Mus musculus: one gene and its partners. The protein of the gene in region 7 interacts with the protein of the main gene of each other region in a biochemical or structural test. Links are inferred from orthologs where the notes say so. Each region holds a gene or a part of one and is shown on either strand. Other genes may lie near its edges.

Region 1 (3,868 bases), on a different chromosome or scaffold from region 7:
GTGTCTGATGGTCTCACAGATGCCTGTCATCCTAGGAACATCTATGATGTTATGTTACTGGAAACCTTTCTAAAAGACAAACAGTTAGAAAATGTATGAAAGTGGCTAGCTGACTGACCAGCGGGTGCAGAGGCTATCCCTGGAAGGAAGTGTGTATTTTTAGTGCAGCGCATATACATATATATATATATATTCCTTTTCTAAAGGCTTCCAGGTAATAGATGTTTGGTATAACAATGCCATCAATTTCTTTCCAAAATCTTCATCCTTACTAGGAAGTTATAAATTCTTCCCTCTGGGATCAAAGTTGATTTGAAGACCATAGAAACATTTGGAATAAAAAGTGTTTGTCCTCTGCAGATGCTTCACACTGATCTGAAAATTGTGCACTTTGGCTTGGGATGTAGCTCAGTGAGAGAGTATTTGCCTAACATGCACAGAGCAAGGGGCTCCATCTCCAGCAACATGCACACACACATGCACACACACAGAGTGCAGGCTATGATTCTCCTCTATTGATAGCTACATATCCAGAGCTGGCAAATACATCCAGTGAAGGTTTGCTTGTTAGTCAGCTCACAGCCACCTATAGCTCCAGTTCCAGGGGATCTGGTATGCTCTTCTGGCTATCCTAAGTACTAGGCATATATGTGATACACAGAACATGTATGCAGACAAAGCATCCATTAATATAAAATAATTGGGGGCGGGGACCTCAGGAAGCCCCACTTCCTGAGATGAAGCCAGCTGCCTTGGCCTAGCATGCAGACTCCACTGTCTGGTGCTCTAGCAGTTGGCCAGCGGCCCTGACTCTTGCGGGCCTCAAGCTGCACACATGCCCTCCATGTGCCTTTCTTTTTTCCCTGCCAGGAACACCAAGTGCCTGTCTCTGTTCCCTCCTTGTTCAAGGCAAGGCTTAGCCAAATCCCTTTTTTATGGAGCCCTTCAGATCACTGGTATCCCACTGCCCACCTTATCTAGCCCCTACCTGCCCTAAGTTTTGCTTACACTGACCCTCTGGTTGTGACCTCACAGTGCTCACCAAAAAGCCCAGTGCCGTTACTGCTCTCAAGATGAGCTACATTGATCGTAGTAAGGCCCACTTCCTGGGAGTATGTAGCAATGGAGACGCATTCTGCTGATCTTAAGGCACACTCAGAATCCAGCCTTCCACCTCGCTGGGCTTTGCATTAGACGTGAACTAGCCTGTGTCTGCCTTTGACTCTTCCCCATGCACCTAGGCTTGGCATGCATGGGCAGTGATGAACTTCGAAGCAGTGCTACACTACAAACATCAGAACCAAGCCCGTGATGAGAAGAAGAAGCTGCGTCATGCCAGCGGGGCCAACATCACCAATGCCACCACTGCAGCCACCACTGCAGCCTCTGCTGCTGCTGCCACCAGCACAGAGGGCAGCAACAGTGAGAGTGAAGCTGAGAGCAATGAGAACAGCCCCACCCCGTCCCCTCTGCAGAAGAAGGTCACTGAGGTAACTCCCCTCACTCAGAACAGGCTGGGGCACGGCTCTGCACAGAAGATGGCTGTGAAACTCTGGGCTTTCTCTGAGACAGGGTACACAGGCTGGACACACTGCCTGGCCGTCCTCATTGTATGCCAGAAGCTGTGCTCCCTGGGTGCAGGCGTGTGTGCACCGTCAGACTGAAGCAAGGCTCCTTCTCCCAGCAATGAGCACATTCTCTCAGTGCAGGGCTCCTGTGGGTGGGTGGCTGCCACAGCTGTAGGGCCACTGAGGCCAGGGCCTTGCGGATATGTCCTCTGCCCTGTTCTTTCCCTGTCTTCTCCCCTTGGCCTGTCAGCTCACACTGTAACAGGGCAGCCAGAAAGTACAGAGAACAGCATGTTCAGAGCCTTAAGCTCCACCCCTACTGCCCTGCTCAGGAAGCCATACTATGCCAAACTATCATTATGAAAACAGGTGCCTTTGTGGAGTCATTCTATATGCCATTGGCTCCTCAAGCATCAGTGTCTCACACTCCTACCTACCCTCTGAGGCAGTGCCATCAGTGTTCAACTGTGCCCATTTTACAGGTAAGAGAGTAGAGTTTCAATAATATACTTGTGTTTCAACAGGATTTATCCAAAACTCTCTTGTTGTACACTGTCCCTGCTGTTCAAGGCTTCTTCCGTTCTATCTCCTTGTCAAGAGGCAACAACCTCCAGGATACACTAAGGTACAAAGGAAGTGGGGAGGATGTAACTAAAGGAAGTCACCCTCTCTGGTCAGTACAGTTCAGGCCAGCATAGGGACATTTTTTCCTCCTGGGCCATGAGACCCGATAGCTTACCAGGCCTCACCCGTGAGGATGGAGGAAGAGGAGAGGGAAGGGTCGAGGCCTGTCCCATCAGCCTCCCTGCTGCCCATCCTGCAGACAGGCACCTCCCCAGCACGGACAGAGCTGCCCAGCTCACTTCTACAGCCAAGTTTGTGCCTCGGTGACCCTGGCCAACCTGTGGTGAAGCACTTGGGCTTCAGAGCTCTGCTACCTGTCACAGTCATTCACTGCCTTGCTGGTGAAAAATGAACAAGAACCAGGAAACCCAACTCTCTGTAACTTTGTCCTGTCTTTCCAGAGTCCTCACCCTGTGGTTTGATTATGGTCACTGGCCAGATGTCAATGAAGCCTTGGTGGAAGGGGTGAAGGCCATACAGATTGACACTTGGTTACAGGTGAGAACTCGGTGACGGTGAGGATGGGTCGCGGTCCTCTGGAAATCACCAGTGGTCACAGAAGCACAGCTTGGTTCCAAGCTCCAAACCAGATACTCCCCCTTGCCTACGCTAGGAAACTGAATGGGTACACCATTTCAAGACCTGCTAAACCAAAGTACACGCTGAGATCCCAGTGCATGGGAGGTAGAGGCAAAAGGCGCATGACTGCCCTGGGCTACATGGGGCCTTGTCTAGAACACAAAGAAGAAAACATGAGAATCAGTCACCTTTCCTACGTCTCACGTGCTGCTTGCTCTATCTTCCTCCAAACCAGGTTATACCTCAGCTCATTGCAAGAATTGACACACCCAGACCCTTGGTGGGCCGGCTCATTCACCAGCTTCTCACAGATATTGGTCGGTACCACCCACAGGTACATGCAGACCCTGAGCAGCTTCTCGTGAGTCCACTGACTGTTGCTTTGGTGGCTCGCCTTTACAAGTGTTCCTCTGTTTGCTTAGGCCCTCATCTACCCCCTGACGGTGGCTTCTAAGTCTACCACCACAGCCCGTCACAATGCAGCCAACAAGATCTTGAAGAACATGTGTGAACACAGCAACACGCTGGTCCAGCAGGCCATGATGGTGAGTCGGTCTTGAGGCAGCAGCCAGGGGTGTTAGTGATTACCTCTCTCCCTCGTGGCACATGCTGTGTCTTCTGTCTCCAAGCCAGACCTTCCCAATCGTAGCTTCCTGTGGTGTATCTTTCTTTCTCCCTTTAATCCAGGTGAGTGAAGAGCTGATTCGGGTAGCCATCCTCTGGCATGAGATGTGGCATGAAGGCCTGGAAGAGGCATCTCGCTTGTACTTTGGGGAGAGGAACGTGAAAGGCATGTTTGAGGTGCTGGAGCCCCTGCATGCTATGATGGAACGGGGTCCCCAGACTCTGAAGGAAACATCCTTTAATCAGGTATGAGATCAGAGTGACAGAACATTATCCTACCTCCCCAGACTGCTTTCCTCCACCTTTCTACTGTCCTTAAAAGTGGTACCCAGTAGAAGTCACAGCATAGAAAACTGTCATCTTAGTGCTCTGTGCAGAATTACAAATGCAAGGCCAGCGTAGACCTAGAACTCATGCCCAGAAAAATAAAGTAAAACAAAACAAAATAGAAATGTAACTGTTGTGCTTGCTTC
Region 2 (4,351 bases), on a different chromosome or scaffold from region 7:
GGTTCAGTGCATTATAGTTGGCTTCTTCTGACCCTCAATATCCTTAGAAAGGAAAACTCTGAATTGACCTACCTGGCTTACCATGACCATGACCATGACCATTATTACCATTACTCCTGGGCTTACCATTCTTGATGATGTTTCAAGCCTGCTAGGCCAGTACACTACTATCCAAGCTATCAAATAGTTTTACATGTTTTTGTTTGGCATTTTGTTCATGAGACAGACTCTCATGGAACTCACTTTGAACTCACAGGACATCTATCTGTCTGTTTCTGTTTCCAAGGGCTGAGCTGACAAAAGGCCTGTACTACTATGCCCAGAACTAAGTTTCTAAGTTCCTTAAGCATACACAAGCTGTGTCTATGGGAAAATCTATTTATTTGTACTATACTGACAAAAAGAAAACTACTTTGTATACCTGTCCATTTTCTCCTTATGTCTAGCACAACGTAAAAGCCCCAGTGACATCACAGCTAATGTCCTGCACTGGGGCAGGAGTGACATCACAGCTAATGTCCTGCACTGGGGCAGGAGTGACATCACAGCTAATGTCCTGCACTGGGGCAGGAGTGACATCACAGCTAATGTCCTGCACTGGGGCAGGAGTGACATCACAGCTAATGTCCTGCACTGGGGCAGGAGTGACATCACAGCTAATGTCCTGCACTGGGGCAGGACAGGTCAAAAGTAGAACAGAGAGCTCAAGGCCGGGGTTGATCAAGAAAGGCCATCCTGAGCAAGAAGGATAGAATCTAGGTTCTGGGAGATTCACAGGGGTTCATCAAAGACCCTGGAGAGACTGAGATATAATCAGACCACTGAAACTGATAACAGTTTTACCAAAGCATCAACCATCTCTCCAGACCTCAACAGCAACCATTTAAAATGACCTGAAGTTACTCTATCAGTCCAGTTAGCTCACTAAGACAGCATACCAAGTTTCTGAATTTCAGTTCAGGGAAAACAACAGAACAAACTGACAATCTTTGAGTTCCAGGCTCACTACTCAGCAGAGAGACCCGAAGCCATTTAGACCTTCCATTTCATTTAAAATTCTTTAAAGAATGCCATTCCCCAGCAGCCGAGTTTCTGTTCCTTACTATGGCCAACCATCTCAACAAAAAAAGGGGGTATGAAAGGAGAGGAGAGGCAGGCTCCCAGGTATCTACTAGAGATTATTTTAAGGAACACAGGATCAGAGAATGTGACTTAAGGTTGACAGAGGTAAATTATCCACCTGGTTTTTTTTACACAAGAGAGAGATTATCGCTGGGTGAACTAAGTGGCTCACTTCTGTAACAATCAAGAGGCTGAGATAGAAGTGCTAAGTTCAAGGCCAGCTTGGGCCAAAAGAGACCTTGTCTAGTAAAACAAGTCTTTCTGAAAAGTGTCAAACTGAAGTTTTTAAACAGAAAAGAAAAAAAAAATCCAAAAATAACTGAAATAATTTTACAGTTATTCACTGATTCTTTCATCTCCCTTAACTCTCCAAACAGGCAAAGGTTCTTCAAATTCTGCCAGAAAACATGACATTCTTTTAACCGCTAATGAGAGTTAGTTATTCCTTAAGCGATGTATGGAGAAAACCCTATTCAGAAAACACCACCCCTGCAACAGGTGAAGAGGAAGAAAGATGGTCAGAACTAGTTTTAACAGAGTTGCCCAGGAAGGTACTCTTAATAATGAAGTATGATGACAGCCTCCGGGAAGTCAGAGATTCGTGATTACTAGGATGAAGACTCTGAAATCACATTGGGAGTCACTCATAAAAGTAATGAGGATTCTTGAAACTTCAACAAGAAACGGACGAGGCCAACCACAACTCCTGCATATGGACGAGGGCACTAACAAAACCAGAAGCAGCGAGCAGTAGAGAAAACAGGTGGGACTCCCATGCCCCATTTTCCTGCCTGAGAACTCACGAGAACGTCGTTGAAGCCTCCCTCCCTGACATGCAGCACGAGGCCACTGGGAAGCTCGGATGCCTGTGGAGAAAGGAGTGGGATACCTCTTAGCGCTGGTGGAGAGAAGCTTCGAATTTTTGCTCATGCTGACTTTACTCTCCTTCTTCTTGGGGGTGCTGCCTTCTTTCTCGGTCTGCTGGTTGGAGGACGAAGATGACGAGGAGCTGGTGCTGGCCCTCGAATCGTCATCCGACATAGCGAACCCCCCACCCCACCCCGCGAACGGCCCCTGCAGGGGGAGGAAACAAAACAGAAACACAGACCATGCAGGCGCTGCAAAGAGGGAAGGAACTCCGCTGTCAGGAGGGCGCGGGCCGGGCCGCCCCCGCTGCCTGCAGAGGCTCGGGGCCCACCGCCGCACCGGCCGAAGAGACACGGGGGCCACGATCGCGCGGGGGCGGCCCGGGGAGGGCCGGGAGCCGCCGCCGCGGTCCCCCAGGCCTCCCGGCGTCCGCTCGAGTTTGGCGAGGTCGGGACGAGCCGAGCAGCGAGAGTGGGTGAGCAAGCCGAGCGTGGGCCGCGTGGGCCGCGGGGACACGGCTCCTGGCCAGGCCGGGCCACGCGGGGCTGCGCTCGCAGGCCGACGCGCACAATGCGCCCCGGGCGGGCGGGTCCCCGCGGGGACCGGGCCGCTCTGACAGTTCGCGCGGCCCCCGCCGCCCGGGCCCGCCACGCCATCCCGGTCGCCCGGCCCTGCTGCCCGCGGCCCGGCGGTGCCGCCCGTCCCCCGGCCCCGCGGCCCCAGGCCCCGCGGCCCGCCCGCCCTGAGGGGCCCCCGCACCTCTCTTTGTGTCTGGCTGCTCCGTGCCGCCGCCGCGGCTGCTGCTGCGGCTGCGACTGGGCCTGGCCACTCGTGTCTCGCTCTCACTGGGAGAGAAGCGGAAGTGCAGCAACAGCAACTATTAACCAGGCAATGGCTTCCCCGGCCGCACACGCTCCGCGCCACTCCTCCTCTCCGCCCCGCCCCGCGCCCCTCCCCCGCCGCACCTGGGGGCCGCGGCCCGGGAGCCCCGAGCGACCCCGGCTTGGCCTGGGGACGCCGCGCCGGGCGGAGCCGAGGCAACCGGGCGGGATTGGGGGCCACTGGGGCAGGTGGAGCCCGGGGTGACCAGGGGAAGTTCTTCCCAGGAGGGCTTTGGGAAAAGGCTGGGGAGTGAGGGGGCCGGTGTGGGGAAAAGATGGTACTCTCCTGGCGAGGACTTTGACTCCTCCCCAAAAGTGATTCGTTTGAAAAGAAAGAATGGAAGAAAAGAAGAGAAGAGAAGAGAAGAGAAGAGAAGAGAAGAGAAGAGAAGAGAAGAGAAGAGAAGAGAAGAGGAGAGAAAAGGAGAGAAAAGGAGAAAGGAAAGGAAAAGAGGAAAGGAGAAAGGAAAGGAAAAGAAAAGAGGAAAGGAGAAACGAAAGGAAAGGAAAGGAAAGGAAAGGAAAGGAAAGGGGGAAAAGGAAAGGAAAAAGGAAAGGGAAGGAAAAAGGAAAGGAAAGAGAAGGAAAAAGGAAAGGAAAGGAAAGGAAAGGAAAGGAAAGGAAAGGAAAGGAAAGGAAAGGAAAGGAAAAGACCCCTAACAGGTTTTTCCTTTGAGCTGATGACACTTGTTCCTCCCTCTGGCAATTACGTGCTTGGAGCAGAGGTCACGCCTGTGAGAAAAAACCCAGACTGGGATTCTGTTCAGGACACCAGGCATGTGCAATTTTATACTAGATACCACCCTCCTTCCCCTTTCACTTGTTATTGAAAAGGATGTGGACTTTTTTTTTTTTAATGTATGCAATTGGGGTTCGGGACAGGTAACTACGACCGGGCTTGGGATTATAAGATCACTGAAAATAAACCTTGAGCCAATGATTTTGACAGGACTTGCCCTGGCTGTCCTGGAACTCACTTTGTAGACCAGGCTCTCCTCGAACTCAGAAATCCGCCTGCCTCAGGATTTGGAATTCTTAAATTAGATATGTCTGAGTCTTAGTAATGGGGAAAAAAAGTTCTAGAAAGCACCCTACTTTCTTTTTACTCCAATATGATGCTATTCAAATAATATTTTTAGGATAATCACACAACAATGCCACTAAATTGTTCCTTGTGTGGCACTGTACCGAAATTTATTTTTTTTAATTCCACCATTAAATTAGGACTTAGTTTCTTACCAGTTTGCCGTTTACCCTGAAGGGAACAGACCCCTGCCATCCAAGTTCACAGAGATCTTGTGTACTGAGCAGACAACAGCACTCGAATTTCCATGGTCCACTTTAAATTACCTCATTCAAATTGACATTGCTTCCCATGGCAACAGTGGCTTCAGTTACCACACACACATGATATAAAGAAAGCTCACAGCATATCCACAGTAGCCAGAAGAGCCAACATTCTCACTATCAAGCTAAGCCTA
Region 3 (4,554 bases), on a different chromosome or scaffold from region 7:
GCCTGCTTATGAAAAGGCAGTGCATCATAGCAGGGAGCAGCAGCATGGCCAGGCAACAAGCAGGGGAGGCACTGAGAGCAGATCCTTAAGGGGAATGCAGGGACCCAGCCTTTCTACTTCTCCCGTGTCTGGCCTTAGGTGAACAGCTCTGCTCTGGTTCACGCCCCTACTCTGACGTGCTGCCTTGGTGGGCAGAGACACCTCCTGCCTCGTCTGACAGGCCAAGCTCGAAATTCCCAGGCTCCACACAGAAGGGAGATGTGACCCTTGTCAGTTGTCCTAACTTCTGCACATGCACAGTGGCACTCGCCTGCCCACCCACAAATACACAAAAACAGCTGTCATTGTAAAACAATCTCAAGTCTACCCCAATGTGGGAACTGTGACACTGTCTGGAAACAGTCTCAGCAGATGTACCAGAATTAAATACAGAACATTCTGACTAGGCTGGGCCCTAAGCCAGTGACTGTTGACATTTCAAGTGGAAAAATCTGAATACCGACACACCCAGGCTCAGATGGCCACAGGAAGGTACAGGAGAGGAAGGACTTACACTAGCACAGCTAAGTAACCCGCAGTAGCCAGCACTCTAGAGCTGAGAGGGAGGAAGGACCTTCCCCAAAAGCCCACCCTGCCTAGGGTGACAGCCCAGGCCACAAGTGGGCTTCTAATTCTATCTCCAAACCATGAGATGCTGTCTGTTATGGTATCTGAGTGGTGACAATGTTACAACAGCCCTGGACCACTGTTCCCTTGTCTGTCACAGTAAGAAGAAAAGCTGTGGAAACATATGACAAGGACACAAGAACACACACTGTTCTTACAGAGGAACCAGGTTCGAGTATTGGCACCCGTATGAAAAAGAGGCAGGCTTTATTTACCATGGGTGCCTGTAGCCCCAGAGTTGGAGGCAAGGGAGGAAACAGGAAGATGTCTGGGGCTAACTGGCTGGCCATTCTAGCTGAATTGATGAGCTCCAGGTTCAATGACAGGCCTGGTCTCAAGAGAAGAGGGTGGAGAGTGAGCGACAGAGTGGGACATTCAATATCCGCCTCTGCGTGCACAGGACACTGCACTTGGGAGCAGTCTAAGGTCTTCGCTTGGCTCTTTTTGTGATATGACCACAGTCTAATCGTTTTATATCTGTTATTCAACTGCTATAAAAGAAAAACAAGGAGCCTGAAAAACAATAGGGATGAAGAGATGACTCATAGATTTTGTTGCTCTTGCAGAAGATCCAGGTTCTAGTTCAGCACCCACACAAAGACTCACAACCAGCTGTAACTCCAGTCCCTGGGGATCTGATGTCATCTTCTGACATCCACTGGCACAGGCACACATATGACACACTTACCTATGTGTAATCAAAATACTCATAAAAATACACATAAAAAACACATTAAAAAAAAGTTAGACAATGAACCACACTCAAGGTCATATCGCCTCTAAATCTACAGTACAATCAGGTATGCAAGAACACCTTCGCTCTAGCCCAACCTCGGATGTTCTAATTCAACCTGGATGTTCCTGTTGAATCTACCTAATACTAGAGTACATGGTCTTAAACAGAGGACAAACCTTTTATACCATAAAGGAAGAAAAACACTCAGTGGGACTTTTATTGAATTCACAAGGACACGGAAAAAACCTCCCTCCCTCCCTCGCTCCTCGTGCTTTGTACTGCTGGATGCATTTCCATCACTGCTGCCACAGGCTTAAACAATATCCATTGATGACCTCATGGTTTCCATGTGGGCTTGGGCCCAGCCGAGACAGCTGGTTGTTTCAGGGCTGCAACCCAAGTCCATTCAAGTCGCTGGCACAACTCAGTTCCGTATGGCTGTAACACTGGTCCCAGACTAGCTGTCAGCCTGGGGCCACCCTTAGCTCCCTGCCCTTTTTTTTCCTCTTCCAAGAAGCCACAGCAGGTGGAGTCCTTCTCCTCTGTGAACCCCCTGAGCCCCTCGCCAGCCTTCCTATTTTAGAGTTCCCTCTTTAACCAAATTCCTTCTCTCTCTCACACGGAGATGATTCACAACCTTAACTTCAAATTAAGTGACAATACGTTTTGTCTGACGTACGAGTAGAGGCTTTTTGTGGCGGATAAGTTTTTCTCTAATGTGAATACCCTTGGGTAGAAGTGGTCAAAACTTAAACCCCTGTCCCGGAGCTTAAATGCTGTTCCCTCTTTTTTAGATAAAGGGGATGTGTCTCAATCTAGACACAGAGCTGAAAAAGTAAAACAGAGAGAAAAACAGATCCGGATCCAAGGAAACTGTCCGGAGCCCGTGTCCGAGAAACTTTGGTTTTCCCCAGCAACTCGCACCTGCGGCGTGGCCGGGGGTTTGAGGCGTTATCTTGTTTATTTTTAACTTTCTCCCCCAACTCCCCTCGACGGCTCGACCACCTTACGGGGATTACCCGGTACTCGCCCCGCAGCATCAACTGTCGGGAGGGCAGATGCGCAGCACACAGGGGCTTAGGGACCAGACCCGGGTGGCAGGGCCACGGCGGCGCTGCCCCGGCCGGCTTCTGAGCCCAGGGCCAGCCCCGCTGCCGCTGGCTGGGGTGCGCAGGTGACGGCGACAGCCTGGCCTTTTATCCGCACGCGGAATCTCGCAGCCCGGCCCAGTACCCCCGCACCGCACCGCACCGAGCCGAGCCATGCCGGGCCACGCCGCGGGCGACTATGGGGAAGAGGACAGGAAGGCGGCGCCGCCTGACTCACGCTTATACTCGGCCATCAGCCTCTTCAACGCCGTCCCCGCCATACCGCGGAACCTGCGTTCAGCAGCCTCGCCACATCCGCGCCGGTCCCGCCCGCCCGCTCCGACGCCCACGACTGCTTCCGGGTCGCGGGCTCCGGGCGCAAATGCATCCGGGGCGCGCGCGGGTGACGTGGCGCACCCGGGTGCTTCAGACAGGCTCGCTGGGGTTCGCCTCGCGCTCCCCGGGTAATGGCCCGGGTCGACGGAGCTCGGCTTCCAGAATCTTCTCGGCCGGCCACACCCTCAGCATTGAAGGTTTCCTACGCCGCCGTGAGGCTTTGCGCAGCTCGCCCTGCGGCCCTTTAGTCTTGAAAAATAGTGCGAGAGCTAATGGCTCATCATGGATTGTTCCTGAATGAGACTCATGTCCTTGCGCTTGGGCTCGCCCCTCAGAAGTGGCTGTCCAGATCGTGAAACTTTCCCCTTGTAGGCATGAATGTCCTAGAACTCATTATTTAGCCCAGGCCGGCCTCGAATTCACAGAGATGCCACCTGCCTACCTCTGTCTCCCAAGTGCCACTACACCTGGTTTTTGAGGCCCAGGTGATTTGAGATGACACTTCTAGCAAGAGAAAGAGTACCTTGGTTTCACAAAGGAAGGATAAAGTTCCCGGGCCATATCCCATCCTCTCTGGCCAAAAAAACTCAGACTCTGCCAAGTAAGCTGTACTTCCTCATCATACGGAACTGCCAGATAGATGCTTGGTATTTTCTTAGGTGCACCACTGCCTTCGCTAAGTGGACATGAGGGATACAGCTCGGGACGTGGCTCTCCGAAAAAAGGGGCTTTCAGGACTAGGTGTAGGGACAAAGAGAAAGTTCCTGCTGGGACCCTGAGTATAAGAAGCTGAACTCAAAAGATTTGAGGCATTAGATTCATCACATTTGTCGTTTTAAAAAAGAATATTAAGGGGGCTGAAGAGATGGCTCAGCGGTTAAGAGCACTGACTGCTCTTCTGGAGGTCCTGAGTTCAAATCCCAACAACCACATGGTGGCTCACAACCATTTGTCACGAGATCTAATTCCCTCTTCTGGTGTCTGAAGACAGCTACAGTGTACTTACATACAATAAATAAATCTTTTAAAAAAATATATTAGAGCCAGGCAGTGGTGGTGCACACCTTTAATCCCAGCACTTGGGAGGCAGAGGCAGGCCGATTTCTGAGTTCGAGACCAGCCTGGTCAACTGAGTGAGTTCCAGGACAGCCAGGGCTACACAGAGAAACCCTATCTTGAGAAAGAAAAAAAATATTAGGATGCTACTCCAATTACATGTAAGGTTAAAAAAAAAAAAAATCCCACACGCATAACCCTCCCAAGCATGCCCCACCCACAAGTCAAAAGGAGGCCTCGAGGACACACTGCTCCTCCTGCTGTTGCCTGTAGAAGCATAAGTTAGTCTAACACATCCAAATGATGTGGCAGCCCCGATTCCCTGCGACAGTTTGAATGTGAGTCGTGCCCACATGTTTGCTGGTCAGGGTGGAACCTCCACTAGCTGGATAGGGGTGAATTTTGAGATTAGGATTAGCTTAGTTTCTAGTTCTCTCTGCTTCCCAGTCAGCTACCCGGTGAGTAAGCAGCTGTCACACACTGCTGCCGCCTTGGAGCCACCTGCCGCCATGATAGACGGTATCCCCTCCAACCCCAAGGCAAAATTAACTTCTGTGTGTCGGGTATTGATCCCATCAGCAAGAAAACAAACTTGTAAAGTAGTACCATGAACTGAGGCCATCCCTGGGATGAGCCTGACCATGAGCTTCAGAGCTAGTTTGGTTTTGTTTT
Region 4 (3,868 bases), on a different chromosome or scaffold from region 7:
TTATTGGTGACAGGGTTGGTGAAAGGAGAGCAGCTAATCAAAGGCATAAAGGTGACTGAAGCTACTGCCTATGAGGATACACGCTGAAGTTTATAGACTCAGCTTTGTAATATGACAAGCAGAGTCAAATTCTCTGAAGACACACAACTCTACTAAGACAGAAACGATGGCACATTTTCAGAATGTGGAGGGACAATATCTAAAATAACAGATAGAAAACTTAAACACCAGGGAAAATATCCCACCCCCACCCACTCCCACTTTTAAGACTGGGTCTTGGTACACAACCTTGGCTATTCTTAAATTTAAAAGCAATCCTCCTGCCTCCGCCCTTACACCACTCCTGGCTAAACCACTTTAGGTATTAGAGTGGGGCACTTGAACGTCAATGCCTTCCTTCCTCTATTTATTTAGAGACAGGGTGTCACTTACTAATTAATTAATTAATTAATTAAAGGTAGAGTGTCACTAATGTAACCCTAGCTGTCTTAAAACTTGCTAAGTAGACCAAGCTGTCCTTGAACTTACAGAAATCTGTCCTACCATGCATGACAGGTATTTATTTTAGCTCAATTAATTAACAAGATGGTATGAGAGATGGAAACAGAACACAACCTTAGCCACGACTGGCTTAAGTTAACTAACCACTACCCTTTCACTTGTACACTGAAGGAAGACCCAAGTCTGGATTAGAAACTGCAGCGACTGCTCTCTTCCAGTGCTGTTGCCCACTTTCCATACAGCAATTCCCATCAACAGGGTTAGTTCTCACAACATTTCAGCAGCTAGTCACCCTGACAGTTACTTCCAGCTATGAAGAGAGGGGATTAGGCCAAAAAGCTAATATAGCCAACTAAAACTACATAAGAACCTTCTTACTCCAGGACTCTGACCTGTAAAATTTGTTTCAGGGTGGATCTCTTAATACCGTGCAACAAACTTCTGTGGCTTTCACTCAAATACTATCTTTGTATGAGCTGGTATCCAGGATGGCTTCATAATAGCTTACTGAGGGAAAACCTACTACACACATACTTTCAAGAACAAACTTCATACCAAACCCATGACTTAACTTCCATACTATCAAGGGACACATACACACACCCAACCCCACCAGCAAAGATACTAATGTAGCCTAGTAAGATGAAGGACTTATTATACATAATCTCCTTCAATGGAACTTTCCAGCTGCTATAATCCCAGAAGAGTATACCATATCTCTAGATTTGAGAGTTCTAGGGAAAGAGAAAGAAAGAAAGAGAGAGAGAGAGAGAAAGAGAGAGAGAGAGAGAGAGAGAGAGAGAGAGAGAGAGAGAGACCCCACATTTCTAATGTGCTTCAGTTGCCTTTCTCATACACAATCCTAGAAATGTGCTGGATGCAAGAAACAAACAGCATCACGAGTTACAGCAACTTCCTCACTATTCAACCCAGATTTACTCTCTACCTCAAGGAAACCTGGACTGCAAAAGGATCCAAAGCAGGCTACAAGACATTCTTCATTCTGAATATCTTACAAGTATCTTGATATGGAATGAGTAAGAACTCCACAAAGTAACTTCCCAGTAGGACCTGGAGGGTATACGTGACACCCATTTCATTTCGGGTATTATTTCCAAGCACTTAATTTTTTTTTAATCAACTGTTAAATTCTCATAATCATTATTAGCACCACTGCCTCCAGAGGCGCCCACTAAGAGGCTCCAATCAGACACCCATTGCATGAATACAGCAGACCTGGGGTCTTTCTCAAGCCTCTGGGGAAAATAAGGACCTAATGTTTCCTAAGGGAGTAGTTCTCAAAGGGGCATAGAGCATAACCATCCGTACGGCCTCTAAAAAGCAGACGGCTGCCACACCCCAGAGCTTGAGATACACTTGTAGGATGGGACCTTCAAATCTGCAGATGCTGCTGTGGCAGGCAGCTCAAAGGCTGCACTGAGTAAACCATTTCCTAAGACACTCTTACATGTAATAACGTGATCTTCTTCCTTTCCATCTAGATGACACCAGTCACGTGCCACCCAGAGAACTGAATACTCAATCACACTGTGCGGTGGGTTCAGAAGAGGAACCCTAATTGATGAAGGCTGTCCTAGAGTGATTATTTGCTAATACCAACTTGGCCTCTTACAAGTCTCTTCTTACCCTAGAATACTCAAGCAGACTTTCCCATTGCGGTAGAAGTTGGGGTTAAACCTCACTGTGTTATTGCCCGTTGTCATCAGTTTGACCCGAGGTGGGTGGATGGGATAGTCAGGTGGACACCGAAAGACGAACAGGAAGAAACCCCCTTCATAAGGAGTGTCAAATGGGCCTGTGATCAAAGCATGAATCTGCAAAATAAAACCCCATCTCAAAATTGTGAGGTGATGCCCCACCACAACCCCTCCTAGTTTCCACCTGCTCCCCCCACCAGAAGCAGTCACCAACAGCATGCATTGCCTGGTGTTTATATTCCACATCCTCCCCAGACACAATGAACCACCTGGGCTCACTCATGTACATAGGTCTTCAATATAAGGAAATCCCATCATAGTGGAGTAAGCATCACACGCCATACTCAGAGGTTATATTCAAAAGTTAATGTCCAAGGTAAAAAGTGACCCTTGTCAATATTACCTTAAAACAAGTTTTGTTTTGTTTTTCCCACCAGACCTCCCTGATTGGTGTTAAGGACAACAATTGGAACCTAAATATATCAACTATACAGTGTGAAATTAAGCTTATTCGTTTAGGAAATCAGTACATATTTTGACTGAGATGCTTGGATTTGCCAAGGTTAATCATGCTTATGATGCAAGTCCATTCTCTGTGTGTGAGTGTGTGTGTGTGTGTGTGTGTGAGTGTGTGTGAGTGTGTGTGAGAGAGAGAGATAAGAAGGGGAAAAGGGGAGACCAGCGCCAACAACAATGCAGAGCTGATAATTACATGGATGCAAAGGCTGTCTGCTTGCTTCCTCCAGAGGATCAAAACTACCGTGTCAAAGATACAAATAAATAAATAAAATTTCATGGTCTACTCATGGCCAATAGACCATCCCCCCAAAAGTTTCTCCAACACTGTTATAAAATAAATAAATCAGTATTCCTTAAAACGTAACACTATGTTCAGTTCTCTTCTTCCACAAGCCATAATTATTCCATTATTGAACACAATTTTTCTTCAAGAACAGAAGCAAACCTGAGCTGACTCAATTCTATGTTTTTTTTAAAAGGCTCGTAACTAATGATTTAAGTATGCTCAGAATTTAAATAGCAAGAGGGAAAAAGACCGTGTACTCTCATGCCTCAAATCTATAATCCTACTCTGCCCTGGCAACACAGTAGGTTATATTCTAGTCTGCAAACTCTGGAAATAGTAAAGTCAACTGGCATCAATTTCAAGGCCTCAGAGATGAGCATACCCTAGCATTTGAATGGAGACAGTATGTCACCGGAAAAATATTTCCAACCACATGAAAAGAAATAATAATAATTTAAAAGAAAGTCTATTCAAAATAAAAAAGTCTGTAACAATATATAAGCTGAGTTTTTACTTTAGGAAATCTGAACTCACTGGTTTTTGCTTAAAACCCTAGATTTAGGTTATCTGAACCCCCCCTCCACATCAGTTTATGTCCAAATTCACTCCCAAGAGTAGAACATTTAATGACAGAGAAGCCTAGGTATAAATGCCAGAGGAACACAACTATCATGTATAAGTCTCCTATGTGGAGGACAAGAGAGGACAGGTCTCTGGGGTAAGAGATACTACAAAGACCAAGAATCGGCAGCAAACACTTCAGCCAAGCCGGCCTCCTGCTTCCCTGCCCTGCACCTGACTTGCTACAGTCAAAATCAAGATGCTGAGATGGAACAGAGACAGG
Region 5 (3,868 bases), on a different chromosome or scaffold from region 7:
TGAGACAGGGCATTCCTAAGTGGCCTGGCCATAGCCTAGAACTTTGGATTTTCCCAGGAGCTGAGGCAAGGTGTGCACCAATGTGCCCAGGTTCATTTTCCTCTTAGAGGTAGTCTGAGGCCACTATGTTAAATTGTTTAAACAAAATGTCTTATATCCTTCATATTTGGGTAAGGGTGAAGACCATGCATTACAGCTCTATGACCTGTAATACTCTGGAGAGGACAGATGACACGAGTGAAACTCCCTGGGTGTGGAATGCCTCCACGAGACAGCTGACAATTACAGTGTGAACTGCTGCCTGTGTAGGGCATTGTGGGTGAGAGCCTCATGGAAGCCCAGGCTATATAGCAAGCTCTAGGCCAGCCTGGGTTGCATTGTGAGACTGTCTCAAGAATAAGGAAACTGGCCAGGCAGTGGTGGCGCATGCCTTTAATCCCAGCACTTAGGAGGCAGAGGCAGGCGGATTTCTGAGTTTGAGGCCAGCCTGGTCTACAGAGTGAGTTCCAGGACAGCCAGGGCTACACAGAGAAACCCTGTCTCGGAAAAAAAAACAAGAGAACTTGGTAGACCAACTCTAAAAGGCAACTCCTAGTTTCTGATACTAGACAGAGTTAAGAACAGCTGCTTCAAAGATAGTATTATCTTTATTAAAAATTGATAGACATAGCAGCACTTACAAAATAAGAGTTCATGAAGGCAGGACATGCTGTTGGCTGACAGTGGAGAAGGGCAGCCTAGGCCAGGCTGTGGGCTCTGCATCCCACACTTGCTCACAACCACTGGTCACAGCCTATCAACAGCAACCTACAACACCCGAGCAGAGGCCAGCAACCGCCATGGCGTGGCCTCCTTAACTTCAAGCTTGTGTCATCTGTGTGAAGAGTCCAGTGGGTCAAGTAGCACCCTCCTTAGCAGCTTCTGGAGCACTCAGTGGTGTTCTGGAGGTGGCTGGTGTACTTGACCCTATAGTTAAAACACCTAGCATTCAATAAAAGCACTTCCATCCAAGGCATCTTGCAGACCCCTGCTGCTCCGGAAGAGATGCACCTCTCCATAGAGCACAGCATCTGCAGGGGCTCCTGACCTCCAAGGCAGCACAGGGAGCTCCAGGCAGCTGCTTCCACACCACTGTCTTTGGAGGCAATGGCAGGTTTGGTCATTCTGTCTCCTGCTCGCTGCTCTGCTTCTTACTGCTGGGTGGGGGTGTCAGGACCACACTCGGAGGAGGAGAAATCCTATTCTGTTCTGACAATATGGCTTTCTTTGCTTGGGCTTTGTCCTACATAAGAATAAGAGGGAAAGTTGTCAAAGTTAAACAAAGTGTCGTTTTTCTTGCTGTATGTTTTTAATATGGAGGCAAGAGGGAGAAATAGCAAAAATTATAGTTAGGCTTGGTGGCAAATCCTACCACTTGAGGGGAGTCAGACTTCTGAGTTCAAGGTCAGCCTGGGCTATATCTAGTAAGAACTGGTCTCAGTAAACAACCCCCTCTCACCTAATGTCTATAGTATTCGCATACTGAGACACAGACTCTATGGACTAGAAACATTCTTAATGGAGTTAGAACTGGCTTTTCCTTAGGCAGAGTTGGTTAAGTACTTGTCTGATGGGAGGGAGCAAGGAGATTACTGACCAGCAAATCCAAGCTGTTGGTGTGGGTCTGGATGTTGTGGGAGTCTTCCATGGGGACTCCCCGGAAGTGCTTGAGCTTGGAACTTCCCATCTCCCGGATAACCATGGCGAACGGAACCATCCATTTGACACACTTCTCTATGTCGCACCACTGATAACCTGCCAGTAAAGAAGTCAGAGGCTCAGTCCGCAGCTGATAGCTGGCTTGTACCTTGAAGACACCTTGTCTGTGAACTCACAGGAAAGCCCAACATACCTGAGACCTTCTGCATCAACTCCAGTGAGGAGAAATGATACAAAGCAGAAGCAGCGAGGACACCATAAGGAAATTCTAAGCAGCCAACATCCAGGACGCACAGGTCTAGAAGCTAAGGAAGACAGGAGCACTAAGACAAGATGCCACATGAAGCTTCTAGAAGCCCCTGAGCTGTGGTGTGCCACACAAACACACAGTGGGCAAGCAGAAGGTCCACATACCTCTGCGATCTGCACGAAGACCTGCTGTGGGTACTGAGGCATCAGCACCTCACCCGTGTCGTTGACATAGGCCACTTGGACATAGACATTCAGCCAGGACACAATGGTCAGAGGGCTTAGACGCCACTTAAGGGCCTAAAGGAAAGAAGTGACAGTTGTGAAAAGCTCAGCCATAGTCCCTGCCACATGGCTAACTGGATAAGACCCACGGTGGTGGTGGGCACACCACACCTTGCAAGGGAAAGACAGTCTCTCTCTGTCTCTCTGTCACACACACACACACACACACACACACACACACGATATTAATGTGTAACCTGCCTTCATCATCATCAATTCCATGGTAAGAATTTCATCCCCGGAGCAAGCGCCATCTGTAACATAAGCAAACTGGTGCAACTTTGGAGGGTAGATTTCCTAAAAGGGAACAGAAGGAAGATGCTATTAGAAGAAACCGTTCCTAGCACTTTCAGATTAGGACATGCATCCAAAATGGCTCTAGTATGCTGACGTGGAAAGAGGATACAATCAATGGCTCAACACTGGCTCACTTCAGCAACTGAAAGCATGCTAGCTATAAGAAGTAAAGCTAGCTGGCTGTGGTGGCCTTTAATGTCACAACTCCAGAGGCTGCTGGATCCAAGCAAGCTAGAGCTACAGAGATTCTGTCTCAAAAAGACTCATGGATAAACTGCTTAGACTTCTTCATTCACCCTATAGTCTATAAAGAACCCCACGACAACCCTTTTTATATTATTTTGAGGGCATGCAGGCCTCAAACTGCCCATTCTACCTTAGCTGTCTAAGTGTTAGGATCCCAAGTGGGAAACCACTATGCCACAATTTCAATCTCTTCAGTCCCAAGGTCAATTATGGTTAAAGTAGCTACTAAACTAAATGATCTATGGCCTTGTTCCTTACCCGCCTCCACCTGACACTGTCTACCTTAACTTAGAAGCGTCAGAGTTAAGAGAATTCAAGGTGCATATGACAGTTGTTCATAGGGGCAGAATTTAAGAAATAATGCTTATCACACAAAGAATGTTAGGGAGGTTTTGTTGTTGTTGTTGTTTTTGTTTTTTTTTACCTCAAGTTTTGAAGCAATAAATAAGGCTGAAATCCCAATAAGCTGTAAAAGTGTTTTTATGATATTATGTTGTGATGCCATGTAACGATCAAAGAAGTCCTGTGCCAAGTAGAACGTCTCTCTGTGGAGCTTATAGACTTCGCACACCTGGGAAAAGGATTCCATGTTAGAAAAGGCTCCTGAGGGGCAGCACAAGCGAACTTGCCTGACTTTTGACACAGTAAGAAAGCTAACTGCTTTTATGCAAGGCTGTCACCCTACTCCTCCTAAGCACAGCCCAGTGAGACCCAGGAACTGAGCACACTATGACTTACACAAACAGCAAGAGCAAATCAGCCAGGCTAGGTCTGACCAAAGTAGCACTTTTATAGAGACCACTCCACAAAGTCTACAGTTCTAAGAATGCAACCCCCTTCACAGGTTTCACCGTGACTCAGAAAAAGAACTGGTATAGTCTTCACTGCTGAACAATACCAGTTACATTTTCTTTTTGAAATAGGGTCTCACTGTGTAGCCCTGGCGAGAAATGGAACTTGTTCTGTAGCCCAGGCTGGCCTTGACCTCAGAGCTCCACCTGCCTCTGCCTCCTCGAGTGTCCACCAGCACTGTCAGCAGCTTTTCTTTCTTTCTGCAGTAGTGAGGATGTAGTCAACAGGCTGTGCCATAACA
Region 6 (3,868 bases), on a different chromosome or scaffold from region 7:
AGTCGCAAACATGGAAATTCTTAATTTAAAGCAACGCAGGAAGTTAATTTAAAAGTTATATTTACAAAGTCATTAATGACTTCATGTAACTACATTTTGAATGTGAGACAAAACTAGATATTCATGTTATTGATGGTGAAAAAGTTTGCCTTAAGCCAGGCAGTGGTGGCATCTTTAGTCCAAGCAGTTGGGAAGCAGAGGCAAGCAAATCTTAGTGTGAGGCTAGCCTGGTCTACAGAGAGAGCTCCAGGATAGCCAGGACTGCACAGAGAAACCCTGTCTCAAAAACAACAACAAAAACCAACAAAAGGTTTACCTTAAGAGCTTTGAGTTGTTCTGTATTTTCTCCAGTTGGTCTATCTCTTTGGATAATCTTGCAATTTCCTCTTCCAGATGTTTCTGAGTAACATCAACTTGTTGGCACAGTCGAGCAAAAGTAGTGGCCATTTCTCTAAAAGAAAAAAAGTGAATGTTTCCTAAAATGATCACATATTAAAGAGAAAAACTTTTTTTTTTTTTTTTTTTTTTTTTTGAGACAGGACTTCTCTGTGTAGCCCTGGCTGACCTGGCTGGAACTTGGACCAGGCTGGCCTCAAGCTCAGAGATCTGCCCAGCCTCTGGAGTGCTGGGATTAAAGGCACGGCCACTATGCTCCTCAGCTAAAGAGGAAATCTTTCATAGCTAAGCCACAGGGCAGCACGGCACTTATAAACGTTATTGTAATTAAAGACTGCAGCCAGAGCGCCGTGAATACAAACGGGATGTGACCACGCAGAAGGCAGACAGACGTTAAGACTGCTAGAATAAATGAGGCAGCACTACAAGACGGGCATGCAGGAGAGGACTTTCTGAACAGAGCTCCATTAGCTCAGGAATTAAGGCTTACAAAGCCTCTACACAGCATAGGACATGATCAGCCAAGTGAAGAGACCCCTGGGGTGGGGGTGGGGGCAGAGTTTTTGACAGCTGTGAATCTGACAGAGGACTAATATCCAGAACTTAAAAAGAACTAAAGAAGACAAAGAATCAAAAACAAACAAACAAACAAACAAACAAACCCCAAACTGCCTAATTAAAAAAATAGGCTTTGGATCTGAACATAGTCCTCAAGAGAAGGAAAAATGGATAAGAAATATCTCAAAAACTATTCTGTATTCTTAGCAATCAAATTAGAACAACTCTGAGGTTTCATCTTGTTAAGGCATAGGTGACATGTTAAGGCCTAGGTAACTATTACCTGTGTAGCCTACCATTTTGTGCTATTACTAATAGAAGGAAATTTTCTCATATACTGTTAGTGCTGTTACTTTGGTGTTCTTGGAGACCAATCAAATCCCAGTAGAAATCAGTCAGCCCTGCTTTGCACAGTTACCTCAGTAAGCTTGGAACTGAACCAACCACCCAGCAGCACTGCCTGCGCCTGTGTTTGAGCTTTTAGGGCTTCTTGCCTTTGTAAGCTGCCCCTGGGATGGACCCCGACAGAAGAAAGACCTGCACCAATATAAGAAGCTATTTGGAATAAGACATCCATTTTGAGTAGAGATCAAGTAAAGTTTAAGTTCCCAAGACTTCCTTGGGAAATAACATTCTGCTTAGCAGAGAGAGATGTATACATGGGTAACTGAATCCTGGTTGGCAAGTTCAGACATGAATGTTAGGTAAGTCCCTGCCACAGCTGAATACCCCAACCAATACAGGATAAGTATACACTAACACATGTTCGTAAGGAAATCTCCTATCCCTAAATACTGATTGGCACAGATATTTGTGGATTTTTAGATCTTCCTGCCACATGACCCAGCCGTCCCACTGCTCAGCAAACACCCCAGTAGACCCCCCTCCCCTCCCCACCATAGACACTTGCTCAGCCATCACCCTCCTTAGCACCTGTCCACAGTGAGAAATGGAACACACAAATAGCCTTCATCTGATGAACAGATAGAAATACACACACTACGGATTACTGTTCTGCTGGAAAAAGTGGAAATCACGAACTCTTCAGGTAAATGGATGGAACTAGAAAAGATCACACTGAGGAAGGTAACCATACCCAGAAAGACAAACACCTATTCTCATTCTCTCTCTCTCTCTCTCTCTCTCTCTCTCTCTCTCTCTCTCTCTCTCTGTCAGTTAGCTCCCTCCCCCTCTCTCTCCCCCGATTTTTTTTTTTGTTTGTTTGTTCTGATGCAGGATTTCTCTGGGTAGCCCTGGCTATCTTGGAACTCAGCCCTCAAATTCAGAGACCTGTTTACCTTAGCTGGGACTGATAAAGCTATGTGCTACCACCTCCCAGCTACACGTTATCTTATTTATAGATCCTAGCTCTGGATCCCCCCACCCGCCCCCACCACCCACACACACACACACACACACACACACACACACACACACACACACAGAGTTTAAAGGAAGTTTCACCACTTTGGGTGGTAATACTCCCCACAAGAGTCAGAGTGTCTAGCAAAAATCTCAGTGCCATGCATGGAAAACCTCCCTGCTGTGGATTTGCTTTAATGCCTGCCTTACGGGTTCCCAAAACCGCACAAGAATTCAGTATGAGAGGTGCTGAAGGTCCCTGCCCCCAGCTGGATCTGACTGGAAAATAAAGTTGCCGGTGTCCGATGGCTGGGCAGGGAGAAAGAGGGGGGACATTATATTTCCTGGGCAAGGGAACTCAGGGAAGAAGATGGATTTAGAACCACCATGCCAGCAAAGTAAAAGGGTCAGGCCTGAGAAGTTCAGGACAGAGAGACAGCTAACACGTAAGATGGGGATTGCGGCCCAGGAGGGCTGCAGGCTGGGTCAGCCAGGGTGGAATATAGGTTTTACTAAGTAATAATTCAGGAATGTGAGAGGGGAGTGTGTGCTAGTGGAGGTTTGGGAGCGGCCCCACCATTGAGCTGCTTAAAATATTAAAAGTAAGGCTGTGTATATATGTCTTTCATTCAAAAACCCACAACACTGGAGTGATAGCAAGGAATTCATGCTGCCACAGGGTGAGGAGAATGGATTAATATATTACAGCAACACCTCCCCTTGAGTTGCTAGGTAGGGGAAATATAAGAGAGTTCTCAAAACTACATAGGCTATTACGTTGCTTGCTTCCCAGAACTTGAAGGTAAAACCATATTGCTGAAGACAGCACACATCACCTCAGACATAAGACCTGGTGAAATTGTCTAGAACTGACATGCAAGAAGCACAAGCTCTAATGGTATCCAAAGGAGTCATGTGCACTGCCTACGGAGAAAGGCAGTCAGCAGTCCTGGCTGGTTTTAAAAACTAAGGGCCACAACAATGACCTCAATGGTACAACAGCAGCACTTCTTGTTTTGACCTTGTGTCTCAGTTTTACTAGTTAATTCCTGTCTCCTGTCTAAATAATTCCATATAGTACACCACTAAAAGTGACTGGTTTCAGAGCTAAGTTACTGAAACATCCAATCATCCAGATTCTAATCTCTGCATATCGAAGGCCCTGTCCAGGAAGTCAAATCCCTTGAACCCACACTGTCCGCACTAGAATTTCTTTCTTCATATTCTTGAATACACTTCGTATGCCAGCTGCTCCCATAAAGCCTTTACTAAGGGCTGCTCTCTTTGGGCATTACCTGCTGGGGTGCCATCTGCCCCCATTTTCCCTTCCCCTACATGTAATCTGCTTTGTCCTCTTTAGGCTGAGAGCCTCTGGGGCTGCTTATTTAAATACACAATACTGCACCTTGTTTTAAGGGAATTCAATATATTTTTACAAATATTTAATTGTTACAAAAGTAGAAACTGGAGGTTTGGAGCAATGGCTCTGTGGTTAAGAGTACTTGTTGCTATTGCAGAGGTCCTGGGTTTGGTTCCTGGCACCCACATGGTA
Region 7 (2,876 bases):
ATTAGGCCATCTCCCTGGACCCAAGCGTCTTCCTGTCTCTCTTCAAAATATCTATCTATCTATCTATCTATCTATCTATCTATCTATCTATCTATCTATCTATCATCTATAGTGTGTGTGTGTGTGTGTGTGTTTTCGCGTGCACGCGTGCTCGCGTGCTCAAACCCACCTGCCTGAGTACCATGCGCCTGAAGGAGCCCATAGAAATAAGAAGAGGGCATCAAATTCCCTGGAATGGGAGTTTTAGGCAGTTGCAAGCTACCCTCTGGGTACTTTCAAGCTGAACTCTGGTCCTCTGCCAAAGCAGCAAGTGCTCTTAACCTCTAAGTCATCTCTCCAGACTCTCCAGACCCAGTTTCCCTTGTTAACACTTATCTGGGCAAGTCTGTGAGCAAGGCAAGAAAGTGACTGCTAGGTTTCAGAATGAGATCTTGTTTTGAAATACTGATAATTAGGAGAGCAGAGCCCCCAAGGTTAATTATGGAAAGAAAAGAGACCAATTCCCCCCCCCCCCCAGTGGCTGATGCTTCCAAGTTCTCGTTTAGATGATCCAGAGATGCCCCTTCTATAAACACATATGAGAGGTCACAGAGAAATGCGGCCCATCTTCCCTCCCACATCTCCAAAATTGATCAGAAATGCAATCCCAAGGATAGGTACAAACACGCTTTTGATTCTTTCATTGACAGTCTGGGTCTTTATTGATTGACAGTCTGGGTACCACCACACACACAGACTTCAGGTATTTCTTAATACACTTCACAGAAAGAGAAAGATTGCTTTGCAGAGGTTTGATTTCCACTCTTCTGACATCCACTTTTATCCCACTATTCACACTCACACAATGCAGGCTGTGATTCATGCTCACACACTGTGGATGCCTGTCTTTTGGGTTATTTTAAGAATCACTATTGTATTCTGAAGAAAACATATGCATCTGTTAGGAAGGAAAAGGGACCATACTGGAGAGCCACAGAGCTTCAGGGAGTCCCTTTACCCAAAGCAGAACAGCAAACATTGTCCTGGCTTCCCAATGCGATTACGTCACACGGGTGTGGAAGGAGGCAGAGGCAAGCACAATGATGGAAAAAAAATAGTGATGGGTGACATCAGACTCCTGACTGCTGCTTGACAGGTGGTCTTTTCATTTTGGGAGCTGGCTGGGTGGAGTCTAGGGCCACTGGGACAAAAGTGTGAACTTAGGCCAGCTGGCCTTTCCTCACACCACAAGATAACATCATTTCTATATGATTTTTAGCTCTAGGCCTCAAGTTTGGTAGCCCCACCACCACCAAAAAAAAAAAAAAAAAAAAAGCAAAAGCAAAACAAATAAAAAACAGGAAAAAGAAAAGAAAACCTTGAAAGATTAACACTTGAGTGTGATGCATGTTGATCTGAAGGCTATCTTGGTGTGTGTGTATTGCCCTGTCTGTAGGACCACTGGGTGGATGGGGCTCCCTGGGGCTTAACAGCAGAGGAGGGAGCAGATATGCAGAGGTGTCCCCACTTGTGGTGGAAGGGGTCAGGCATACTCTCATTCAGATGGTCGAGGGATGCTCCTTCTATAAACATTGTGTTTCTTGACCCTGTTGTTAGCATTGGCGCAGCATCATGGGATTGTCTCTTAAAAACGCCCCCTTTATAGGCACTTTCTCTGTTAAATTCACAGTGAAGCTAAACTTCCAGGCTGCAGTAGGAATACTCCAAACCAAATTGCAGACTTTGTTATCTTTTCAGGGGGAAAAAAAGATCATTTCTTTCTAAAGTTGCAGATAATGAAACGAACGGAAGTAGGTTTGGCTTCTGAGTCCTCCCTGCGATTTAAGCAGTCTGCCATCCAATTAGCTTTCCTAGGTTCTCACTTGGTTGATAAGCTGATTAGTACACAGAGGGGTTGTAATCTCATCAGCACCATTTGTAAAGATAGGATTTGGGGGGATAAACAAATAGTTTTGACTACTGCAGGGGGCCCTTTGGGAATAGATGATTACTACATGAGAGCAGCGTTCCTCAGATCTCAAGTGTGCTTCTGAGAATCCTCAGAGGTGTTACTTACCCAGGGCGTGGCAACAACCCTGGAAAACACTTCCCACCTCACTCATGGCTTCTACAGAATCCAAACCAAAGGTGCACCCTCATCTAAGCTCTGACATTCGAGTGAGCCAGAGGCTGAAAGTGCCTCCTCCCCCTGGGGCCAGCGGGTGCTGTGGTTTTCTGTGGGTGCCCTGGAAAGGATCTAGGGGCTGCTTCTGTAATCTGCAGCCTGTGTTTGTGTGTGCGCATTTATGTGCTTATATGCATCGAGAAGAAGAAATGGCTAAGGAAGGTAGGAATCTTCGGAGTTTCCCTTGAGGTTGTGCGTCCAGGGCCAAGTGACATCTCTCTCTACACGTCAAACCAGTGATCTCCCATGCAGGCTCGGTTCCACTCACAGCCACAGTTCCAGCACCACTCCAGCTTGCACTGGGGCTGAGGACACTTCATGTGCATACATCCTCCTGTGGGGACAAAGGACATAGACGCTGTGGGTTTGTAACAAATACGGGCGAGCCCTTGTTCCCCGTGCCAACCTGCCATTCCAGAAACAGCTCTTGTAGTGAATAACAACCTCAAGCAATGAGAGCAGAGAGACTGACCCAGAGTGAACAACCAGACAGCAGCGGAGGCAGCTCCTGGGTCCGGATGCTCTAGAGAAATGGAACAAATCCCATCTGCATATCTGAGGTTCTCTTCTTTTCCCTCATTTAGACACAAATTGTTCACATTTTATAGACAGCGATTCTTCATTTTAAAAAATATATAACCATAATAAACACATGATTTTAAATTCATATTAAAAATTTAGTTACGTAGTATAAAATACACCGAGGTTCATA

The links.
Region 1: of the proteins of Prkn (region 7) and Mtor, one has a biochemical effect on the other in vitro, tested with the Homo sapiens proteins (2 studies listed by BioGRID). The link is inferred for Mus musculus from reciprocal best matches to the Homo sapiens genes PRKN and MTOR.
Region 2: the proteins of Prkn (region 7) and Ube2e1 form a complex in vitro, tested with the Homo sapiens proteins (2 studies listed by BioGRID). The link is inferred for Mus musculus from reciprocal best matches to the Homo sapiens genes PRKN and UBE2E1.
Region 3: the proteins of Prkn (region 7) and Ube2g2 form a complex in vitro, tested with the Homo sapiens proteins (6 studies listed by BioGRID). The link is inferred for Mus musculus from reciprocal best matches to the Homo sapiens genes PRKN and UBE2G2.
Region 4: the proteins of Prkn (region 7) and Ube2z form a complex in vitro, tested with the Homo sapiens proteins (2 studies listed by BioGRID). The link is inferred for Mus musculus from reciprocal best matches to the Homo sapiens genes PRKN and UBE2Z.
Region 5: of the proteins of Prkn (region 7) and Ccne1, one has a biochemical effect on the other in vitro, tested with the Homo sapiens proteins (2 studies listed by BioGRID). The link is inferred for Mus musculus from reciprocal best matches to the Homo sapiens genes PRKN and CCNE1.
Region 6: of the proteins of Prkn (region 7) and Mfn1, one has a biochemical effect on the other in vitro, tested with the Homo sapiens proteins (3 studies listed by BioGRID). The link is inferred for Mus musculus from reciprocal best matches to the Homo sapiens genes PRKN and MFN1.

Annotation. Positions count from the first base shown.
Region 1 is NC_000070.6:148,535,270-148,539,137, forward strand, and holds part of Mtor (serine/threonine-protein kinase mTOR), read left to right. Parts: intron 1-1,241; coding exon 1,242-1,490; intron 1,491-2,092; coding exon 2,093-2,193; intron 2,194-2,593; coding exon 2,594-2,690; intron 2,691-3,006; coding exon 3,007-3,105; intron 3,106-3,193; coding exon 3,194-3,316; intron 3,317-3,458; coding exon 3,459-3,641; intron 3,642-3,857; exon of another isoform or gene 3,858-3,868. UniProt on the Homo sapiens protein: Serine/threonine protein kinase which is a central regulator of cellular metabolism, growth and survival in response to hormones, growth factors, nutrients, energy and stress signals.
Region 2 is NC_000080.6:18,328,939-18,333,289, forward strand, and holds the start of Ube2e1 (ubiquitin-conjugating enzyme E2 E1), read right to left. Parts: upstream 2,907-4,351; 5' UTR 2,749-2,906; intron 2,197-2,748; 5' UTR 2,164-2,196; coding exon 2,012-2,163; intron 1,989-2,011; exon of another isoform or gene 1,958-1,988; coding exon of another isoform or gene 1,926-1,957; intron 1-1,925. UniProt on the Homo sapiens protein: Accepts ubiquitin from the E1 complex and catalyzes its covalent attachment to other proteins. Catalyzes the covalent attachment of ISG15 to other proteins. Mediates the selective degradation of short-lived and abnormal proteins.
Region 3 is NC_000076.6:77,620,591-77,625,144, reverse strand, and holds the start of Ube2g2 (ubiquitin-conjugating enzyme E2 G2), read right to left. Parts: upstream 2,825-4,554; 5' UTR 2,772-2,824; coding exon 2,729-2,771; intron 1-2,728. UniProt on the Homo sapiens protein: Accepts ubiquitin from the E1 complex and catalyzes its covalent attachment to other proteins. In vitro catalyzes 'Lys-48'-linked polyubiquitination. Involved in endoplasmic reticulum-associated degradation (ERAD).
Region 4 is NC_000077.6:96,058,789-96,062,656, forward strand, and holds part of Ube2z (ubiquitin-conjugating enzyme E2 Z), read right to left. Parts: intron 2,337-3,868; coding exon 2,149-2,336; intron 1-2,148. UniProt on the Homo sapiens protein: Catalyzes the covalent attachment of ubiquitin to other proteins. Specific substrate for UBA6, not charged with ubiquitin by UBE1. May be involved in apoptosis regulation.
Region 5 is NC_000073.6:38,097,356-38,101,223, forward strand, and holds the end of Ccne1 (G1/S-specific cyclin-E1), read right to left. Parts: intron 3,347-3,868; coding exon 3,200-3,346; intron 2,530-3,199; coding exon 2,434-2,529; intron 2,248-2,433; coding exon 2,113-2,247; intron 2,004-2,112; coding exon 1,892-2,003; intron 1,795-1,891; coding exon 1,637-1,794; intron 1,283-1,636; coding exon 1,160-1,282; 3' UTR 629-1,159; downstream 1-628. UniProt on the Homo sapiens protein: Essential for the control of the cell cycle at the G1/S (start) transition.
Region 6 is NC_000069.6:32,570,817-32,574,684, reverse strand, and holds part of Mfn1 (mitofusin-1), read right to left. Parts: intron 452-3,868; coding exon 317-451; intron 1-316. UniProt on the Homo sapiens protein: Mitochondrial outer membrane GTPase that mediates mitochondrial clustering and fusion. Membrane clustering requires GTPase activity. It may involve a major rearrangement of the coiled coil domains.
Region 7 is NC_000083.6:12,061,163-12,064,038, reverse strand, and holds the end of Prkn (E3 ubiquitin-protein ligase parkin), read right to left. Parts: intron 2,499-2,876; coding exon 2,386-2,498; 3' UTR 673-2,385; downstream 1-672. UniProt on the Homo sapiens protein: Functions within a multiprotein E3 ubiquitin ligase complex, catalyzing the covalent attachment of ubiquitin moieties onto substrate proteins. Substrates include SYT11 and VDAC1.